Callithrix jacchus: one gene and its partner. The protein of the gene in region 2 interacts with the protein of the main gene of each other region in a pairwise test. Links are inferred from orthologs where the notes say so. Each region holds a gene or a part of one and is shown on either strand. Other genes may lie near its edges. The genes, in order: ENO3 and ALDOA.

The links.
Region 1: the proteins of ALDOA (region 2) and ENO3 interact in a two-hybrid assay, tested with the Homo sapiens proteins (2 studies listed by BioGRID and IntAct, with this or other methods). The link is inferred for Callithrix jacchus from reciprocal best matches to the Homo sapiens genes ALDOA and ENO3.

The regions. Positions count from the first base shown.
Region 1 is NC_133506.1:106,523,683-106,527,374, forward strand, and holds the end of ENO3 (beta-enolase), read left to right. Parts: intron 1-1,071; coding exon 1,072-1,294; intron 1,295-1,404; coding exon 1,405-1,602; intron 1,603-1,808; coding exon 1,809-2,010; intron 2,011-2,438; coding exon 2,439-2,547; intron 2,548-2,697; coding exon 2,698-2,756; intron 2,757-2,843; coding exon 2,844-2,913; 3' UTR 2,914-2,985; downstream 2,986-3,692. UniProt on the Homo sapiens protein: Glycolytic enzyme that catalyzes the conversion of 2-phosphoglycerate to phosphoenolpyruvate. Appears to have a function in striated muscle development and regeneration.
Region 2 is NC_133513.1:29,453,578-29,457,819, forward strand, and holds the start of ALDOA (fructose-bisphosphate aldolase A), read right to left. Parts: upstream 2,933-4,242; 5' UTR 2,856-2,932; intron 2,625-2,855; exon of another isoform or gene 2,579-2,624; intron 2,453-2,578; exon of another isoform or gene 511-2,452; 5' UTR 498-510; coding exon 357-497; exon of another isoform or gene 162-356; coding exon 29-161; exon of another isoform or gene 1-28. Other genes in the region: uncharacterized protein LOC118146229, read right to left, coding at 3,234-3,616. UniProt on the Homo sapiens protein: Catalyzes the reversible conversion of beta-D-fructose 1,6-bisphosphate (FBP) into two triose phosphate and plays a key role in glycolysis and gluconeogenesis. In addition, may also function as scaffolding protein.

The DNA of each region.
Region 1 (3,692 bases), on a different chromosome or scaffold from region 2:
GCATACGCCACCATGCCCAGCTAATTTTTGTGTTTTCAGTATAGATGGGGTTTCACCATGTTGGCCAGGATGGTCTTGATCTCTTGACCTTGTGATCCTCCGCCTCAGCCTCCCAAAGTGCTGGGATGACAGGTGTGCGCCACCACACCCAGTCCTTGAGTTCCTTCTAAAACCAGTGCCCTCTTACTGAAGGGAAACTTTTTGAATTTAATCTCACTAATAATGTTACCATTTCTTGTTAGTTACTAGGAAGATTGCCTGAGAGCATGGACTCTAGAGATAGATTGCTGAGTTTGAATCCTGCCTCTGCCTGTTATTAGTTGTATGGTTTTAGGCAAGTTCTTTAAGTGCTCTATGTGTCCCTTTCTCCATCTGTAAAATGGGGGTTAATAATGATACCAATGAATATAGGTGTTTTGAGAATGAAATGAGCTAAAATGTCAAGTACTTATTGCCTGGCATGTAGTAAATGCTATAAAAATGTTAGCTATTATATACCAGGCACATGCTAAGAACTTTACATTCAGTTTCTCTAATTTTCAGCAAAAGATCCTACGGGGAAGTTGGTGCTATCCCCATTTTATAGAAATGAGGAAAGAGAGGCCGGGTGCGGTGGCTCACACCTGTAATCCCAGCACTTTGGAAGACTTGGCAGGTGGATCACGGTCAGGAGTTTTGAGACCATCCTGGCCAACACAGTGAAATCCTGTCTCTACTAAAAATATAAAAATTAGCTGGGCATGGTGGTGCACACCTGTAGTCACAGCTACTCAGGAGGCGGAGGCGGGAGAATCTCTCAAACCCAGGAGGCAGAGCTTGTGGTGAGCGGAGATAGTGCCACTGAACTCCAGCCTGGGCAACAGAGCAAGACTCTGTCTCAAGAAAAAAAAAGAAAAGAAAAGAAAAAGAAAAAAATGAAATGAGGAAAGAGGCTCATGAGCAAAATTACTCATCCTAGACCACTGAGCCAATAAGTAGTGAAGCCAGGTTTCCACCCCAACACCCCTGCCCCTATCCCTTCTTGAGCCCTTATGCCCCAGCTCAGGTCCAGGCACCCTCTCCCCATCTCAGGCTTTCAACGTGATCAACGGGGGCTCCCATGCTGGAAACAAGCTGGCCATGCAGGAGTTCATGATTCTGCCTGTGGGAGCCAGCTCCTTCAAGGAAGCCATGCGCATTGGTGCTGAGGTCTACCACCACCTCAAGGGGGTCATCAAGGCCAAGTATGGGAAGGATGCCACCAATGTGGGTGATGAAGGTGGCTTCGCACCCAACATCCTGGAGAACAATGAGGGTCAGTGTTGAGCACCCCGGGGGGCAGACCCCCCGGATCTCCACACGGGCAGGGGAGGCTGCAGACAAGGGGGCACTGGAGTCTCAGGTCCTGTCTTGCTCCTCTCCCAGCCCTAGAGCTGCTGAAGACAGCCATCCAGGCAGCTGGTTATCCAGACAAGGTGGTGATCGGCATGGATGTGGCAGCGTCTGAGTTCTATCGCAATGGGAAGTACGATCTTGACTTCAAGTCACCTGATGATCCCGCACGGCACATCACTGGGGAGAAACTTGGAGAGCTGTATAAGAGCTTCATCAAGAACTACCCTGGTGAGGCTCTCAGGTGCCCTAGTGTCCCTGCCCGAGTCCCATGCAGCTCTCTACCATACTGATGTCAGTGACCTGCTTTACCATCCACTTGGATCCTTCCCATTTTTAGCCCCACTGACATCCCCATTTAAGCTCTTCTGCCGTGTCACCCCTGCGTGAGGCCCCTTCTGACCTCTAGCCCTGTATCTGCTACCAACCCCCACCAGTGGTCTCCATCGAGGACCCCTTTGACCAGGATGACTGGGCCACTTGGACCTCGTTCCTCTCGGGAGTGAACATCCAGATTGTGGGGGATGACCTGACAGTCACCAACCCCAAGAGGATTGCCCAGGCCGTTGAGAAGAAGGCCTGCAACTGTCTGCTGCTGAAGGTCAACCAGATTGGCTCGGTGACTGAATCGATCCAGGCGTGAGTGCCTCCTGACCCTGAGGCTCACCGTAGCCTCCCTCTGCCCCAGCTCTGTTCAGTTCAGCTACAGTCTCACTCACTAATTCCAAGTTTACCCTTCTTCTGGCACCTGACCTACCCACACCTTGACATCAAGGCTTTGACTAATCCTTGGCCTGACTCCAAGTGCTTTGCCACTGTAGCCCTGACATGATCCTCACCCCCACCCCACACTATTCCTCTCTGATTCTGCTGTTCTTCTCAGCAGCATCTCAAGAGCCCAAAATCAAGATGAGAAGTCTTTTCCTCTCCTGTTTCTCAACGAACTTAGTCACTGCCCTCCCTGCAGAGTGCCTGCTACTCAAAACAGAAGGGAGAGGCCCCACCCAACCCCTGCTCTCCCACTGAGGAGGTTCCAGAAGTCCTCATCAAATGTCCTCCCCATCCAGGTGCAAACTTGCTCAGTCTAACGGCTGGGGAGTGATGGTGAGCCACCGCTCTGGGGAGACTGAGGACACATTCATTGCTGACCTTGTGGTGGGACTCTGCACAGGACAGGTACTTGTAGCTTCTCTCTATTGAGTGTCTGACCAAGTTTTCTTGGGGTCCCTGGCCTCCTCCCACTAAGGTGAATGCTCCCTTGGGGCCGGGTCCAACTCCCTCCTCTCTAACCTCACCCAACCCTCCAAATCCTTCTTCCCTCATCAGATCAAGACTGGCGCCCCCTGTCGCTCGGAGCGTCTGGCCAAATACAACCAACTCATGAGGTACAGTGGGAGCATTGGGCCTGGGCATTGGGGTGCTGAAGGCTGTTGGGTTGGAAGGCAGCAGCCCTGACTTTGCCTGCATTCTAGGATTGAGGAGGCTCTTGGGGACAAGGCTATATTTGCTGGACGAAAGTTCCGCAACCCGAAGGCCAAGTGAGAACCAGGATTCCACTGGACAGCCCCAGGTCTTCCAGACCTGCTTCCTGAAATAAACACTGGTGCCAACCAAGACAGCTGTGTGCTTCTTTGTGGGAGGGAGGAGAGGGATACTGGTTTCTGGGCTGAGCTAGGAAAGACAGGAGGTGGAGAGAGAGGGGCAGGGAGGGAAGGCAAATAGATGTGTAACCTGCTAAGACAAAAAGGAGATGAGGGACTCAGAGAGGAGCCTGGTGGATCTAGAACAACAGAGGCATTTACATTTCTGAAGGAGGTAGCTATATGTTAAATGAAACTGCAGAGCTGCCAGTGGAGCCGGCATGGTGGCGCACACCTGGAGTCCCAGCCACTAGGGAGGTTGAGGTGAGAGCTTGAGCCCAGAAGGTCAAGGCTGCAGTGCGCCATGTTCACACCACTGCACTCCAGCTTGGGCTGCAGAGCAAGACCTTGTCTCAAAGGAACAAAAAAATGAAAACAAACAAAAAACTAAAGAGTTGCAGATGGAATAAGAAACCAGCCCTAGGCTGGGTGCGGTGGCTCACGCCTGTAATCCCAGCACTTTGGAAGGCTGAGGCAGGTGAATCACGAGGTCAGGAGTTGAAAACCAGCCTCACCAACATGGTAAAACCCTGTCTCTACTAAAAATACAAAAATTAGCTGGGCGTGGTGGCGGATGCCTGTAATCCTAGCTACTCAGGAGGCTGAGGCAGAATCATTTGAACCCAGGAAGCAGAGGTTGCAGTGAGCTGAGATTGTGCCACTGCACTCCAGCCTGGGTGA
Region 2 (4,242 bases):
CTCCACCCATTCTGTCTCCTGCCCGCACCAGTGGACTCATCTGCAGCCAGGATGCCCTTGCCCGGGGCCACGATGCGGTGAGCGATGTCAGACAGCTCCTTCTTCTGCTCCGGGGTCAGCGCTGGATATTGATAGGGCATGGTGCTGGTGGTAGCAAGTTCCTGGGTACAGGAAACAGGGAGAGGATTGGTTAGCTGGGCCTTCTCATGATCTCCCAATAAGCAGGGCCCCTCGCCTGGAGGTCAGGGCAAATGTCCCCTACCTCCCCTGCCCCACACCCAGTAGGCCCTGGGGGCACCTCTGGTTCCCAGCTCTCCCATACGCCCGACTTCCCTATGCTAGGCCTGCCCCTGTACCTTTCCTAACTCTGTCTGGTGCTGGGTGTTGCCCAGCTGAGGGTGGAGTTGCTCACTGGCAACTGGGGGAAAGGAAAAGGCCATAGCCATGGATAGGTGGGTCATGTTGAAGCTGGACCCTTCTGGCTTGCGCCTTGCCATGGGGCCACCTTGCCTGAAAACAAAACCGAACCGGAGTATTTTAGAATGTAAAGGTCGTGAATCGAGCAGAGGGCCCAACACCCTCGTGGGAAAGGGCCCAGATAAGGAAAAGGTCTGTGCCTCAAGCCACACAGCAACCCCGGAGCCAGATCTGAGATTAACCTAGCTCTCCTGACTGCCACTGGGGCGTTCCTTCCAATCCACCCAAGATCCCAGGGCTGGCCTGGGCTCCAACCCTTCAAGGACATCCCAAGGTCAGGGTTTTCCCCACAAGGGAGGGGGCGGGTGGTAGGAAAGGGGTATTAGGAGAAAGGTAAGAGAGCAAGGAGAAGCTCAGGCAAGGGCCTAACAAGTCCTAGCCTGAGGCGAGGAGAGGAAAGCGGTAATCTTTGCCGTGGTCACTTCCTACGGGCGGAGGGGCAAGAGCCCCATCCCTTTCCAAGAAAAATGTCCTGTCGCTTCCCAAGGCTGTAGCTGTTCCAGGCTCAGAATCAAGGTCGCCCGATAAGGAAAGACGGAAAGTGTTAGCCGGGCATCAAGCGCCACCAAGGGGTTTTCCCTCCTCGAGAGGGGCGCCGAGTTCCGCAGGCCAGGAACCAACCTCCCGCTTGCGAGAACCCTGGGGGTGTACACGGGCCTGCCCTCACCCCTCACTGTCGCTTAGGATCCCCACCGAGACTAAGGGGCCCTAATCCTTTGCCACAGGGGTCCCTGCAACAAAAGGGGAGGAGAATGGTCCTCCATCTCGTCTGGCTTCCTCCCCCGCCATGACTCAGCGCGTGCAGCGGCTGCATTGCGCAGTTAGGTGACCTCAGGGTGGAGGGGCCGAGGAGCCTGAATGTGGCCAGTAGTGGGGAGACGCTGGCATGGGGTGAGGGGGGGCTCCACGCGGACGCCCAACCCGCCACTGCCCTCAAGATCCTTCTCCACGGTCCCTGGTCCCCGCACGTGAAGAGGAGCGCTCACCTGGTACAGGAGAGGGGCGAGTGTGCGGGATCTGGCGGCAGAGGACGGCGGGCTGGCGAGTGGACTCTGGGAGCGAATGCCGCACTCGTCACTAGGACCCCTTCTGCGGCGCGTTCCGAGAGGAACGCAGCCGAACCAGCCTCGGAGGGGGCGGTGCAATGGGCGGGCAGGAGGAAGGCGGCGCTCGGCCTTTTAAAGGCACCACTCCGCCCTCCGCCGAGCTTTTTCCTCTGCAGGGAGCGGGAGGCGTCCAATTGCAAGCGAGGGAGTGGGCGACGGGCCGCCCCCAAGAGGCGCAGCCCAGAGGCCGCGCTAGGTAGAGGACGGGCGGTGAGAACACGACTCCTCCCCCGCCCCCCTCGGACGTGACTCGGGCCACATCCCGCGGGTCGCCAGGGCCCTCCCCTCCGCTCCTTCTCCCCCTCCTGGCGCGCTCTTGGGCACCGTGACTCAGCCAGAATATCAGCACCGGAGGAGTGGGGGACGGGAAGGTGGGAGATGCAGATGGAAGAGTCGGAAAAGGAGGAGGCTGGGCTGGGCCTCCCAGGCCCAGCCCGCGGCCCGGGGCAGCTCCAGTTTCCAGCCTGCGCGGCTGCGGCGCGTGTCACCACCGGGTCGCAAGTCGGCCTGCCTCGCCTGCGGCCTGGGCCGTGAAAGGCGCGGAGCCGATCCCCCGTCACCCGTCACTAGCCCAGGCGTAAGGGAGGCGGAGGAAAGGGCGGCGAGAGAATACGCGGAAGCGCGACAGGGCGGTGGGGCTGGCGCGGCACGAAGGCTAGGCCTCCGCTGTGCGGGCTCCCAGCAGGCGGGGCGGGCTGGATCGCGCATGCGCACGTTCTCTCCACTCGGGCGGTCGTAGCCAGGTGGACACCCTGCGCCGCCATGTACCGGCCGCTGCTCGGCCTCGGGCATGCAGGGCCACAGTCCCTGCCAAACGTCTTCCTTGGACCTGACTTCCTTCTCCAGAATAAAATCCATCCCCGAGCTGATCTGCCTCAGATGCTTTCTGAGCCCCCAACTCCTACCGTCCAAGTCTCCACTCCTCACCCGGACTCACCAAGAGCCTGTCGGCCCAACCCCACCCCTACCCCAGCCCAGTCCTGCGAGGGGCCCACCTGCGGCGAGACTGAAGAAGCCGGCAGAGCCTGGTCAGCAGCGAGTGAGCCAGGGGTGCCCGGGCTGGGTTATAAGGCGGCTCCTGCCCGCCCGGCACCAGTGTCCCCGACCTTCTCCGATGACCTCTGCCCTTTTCCCGCCACGGATCCTCTGGCAGGAACCTATATTTAGGGAAACCTGAAGCCCCTGACATTCACACCAGCGTGGGGCCCGGCCTCGGGGAAGGGGGAGGAAGGCTTGTCTGCCGTATTGACGAGGGAGCCCCTGCCCACTCACCGGTGCTTCAAAGGAAATGTCTTCCTTGGAAATCCAGACAGAGGCCCTTGGTTGTCAAGAGAAATAAATCTCTGGCCAGGGATCTGTCGAAGGGAAAGGGGTAAGGGGACTCGGATCACGTGGCCTCCCTGGCTCCTTCTCTAATCTCCCTCCTCCCGACTCCCTGCAGTGACGGTGGCTGTAGTGATTCTCTGGAGCCTTGGGTTTTTTTTTTTTTTAAAGGAGAGCAGATACTGGCACTACACTCACCTCCTAAAATAACAGTCCATGGATGGAGTGTGGTTGTGGCACCCCTGAGTACTCGGTACTCAAGGCCCAGGCTCCTCCTATAACACTGTGTGGTGAGCAGCGCCACTCCCCTGCCCACCTTAAAATCGTTCACTTGGGTAGGAGAAGGGGAGCCAGGGCACCTGCTGGAGCACTAGCCCCTCTCTGGCCATCCAGAGGAGGTGCCATGCAGCCGGCCAAGAGTCCTGCCCTGCAGGGAGCCAGGCCCTGCACAGCCACTTCCAGTTCCCAGGCTTGGGTGCTGGGCAGGCCATTTGTGGTTCCAGCAGCCTGGAGAAAAGTGTCCTGAGGCCCCTCAAGGAGGAGGGCACATGGGCCCTGGGGGCTGGCCGCTCCCCAGAGGGCAGGACACTGGATCCTCATCGGAGCTTGATCTCGAAGCAGAGACAGTTGAGGCTCTGGCAGTCGGGAAGCTGGCATGTACAGGCACAGTCGCAGAGTGGGCAGCAGCGGGGGCAGTGAGGTGCCCAGTCCTGAGGGATGAGAGAGAGGGGTATGAGGGAAGTGGGATGGGGCCAAGTCTGTTGCTCTCTAAGGAGAGAAGGGAACAGAGAGGCCTGGGAAGTCCCACTTGCCCAGTAGAACAGAGGGTACGGTCCATCATTCCCAGGAACAGCAATTGCCTGTGCTGTTGAAAAATCAGCAGTGCGTCCTTGTTCTAAACAACTGAGCTCAGGAGCTAGAAGCAATAATTCGGGGGTTCTCCCTTTCCCATTTTATGGGTGAGGAGACTGAGAGCACGGGACCAGAGAGCAACTGGCCCTGGGTCCCGTGCTAGAATTTGGGCCTCCTGAAGTCCAGCTGAAAAGATGGTTCTGCTACAGTCCCGTGGCCTGTGCAGCTGAGTCAGTAGACAGAGAAAGCACACGTTTTTCTGTCCATCATGAAAATGACTTGTGGGCTTTATGGACTCCTTCGCATGAGACCAAACTAGAGTCTCATTCGCCATTTTCGAGCTTCTACTCTGTGCAAGGCACAGACAACATTCATGAATGATTTTAAAAATCTTTCTAGGTTTCTTTGAAATTGGCAATTCACATATTTTTAATTTTTTTTTTTTTTTTTTGAAACAGGGTCTCACTCTCTTGCCCAGGCTGGA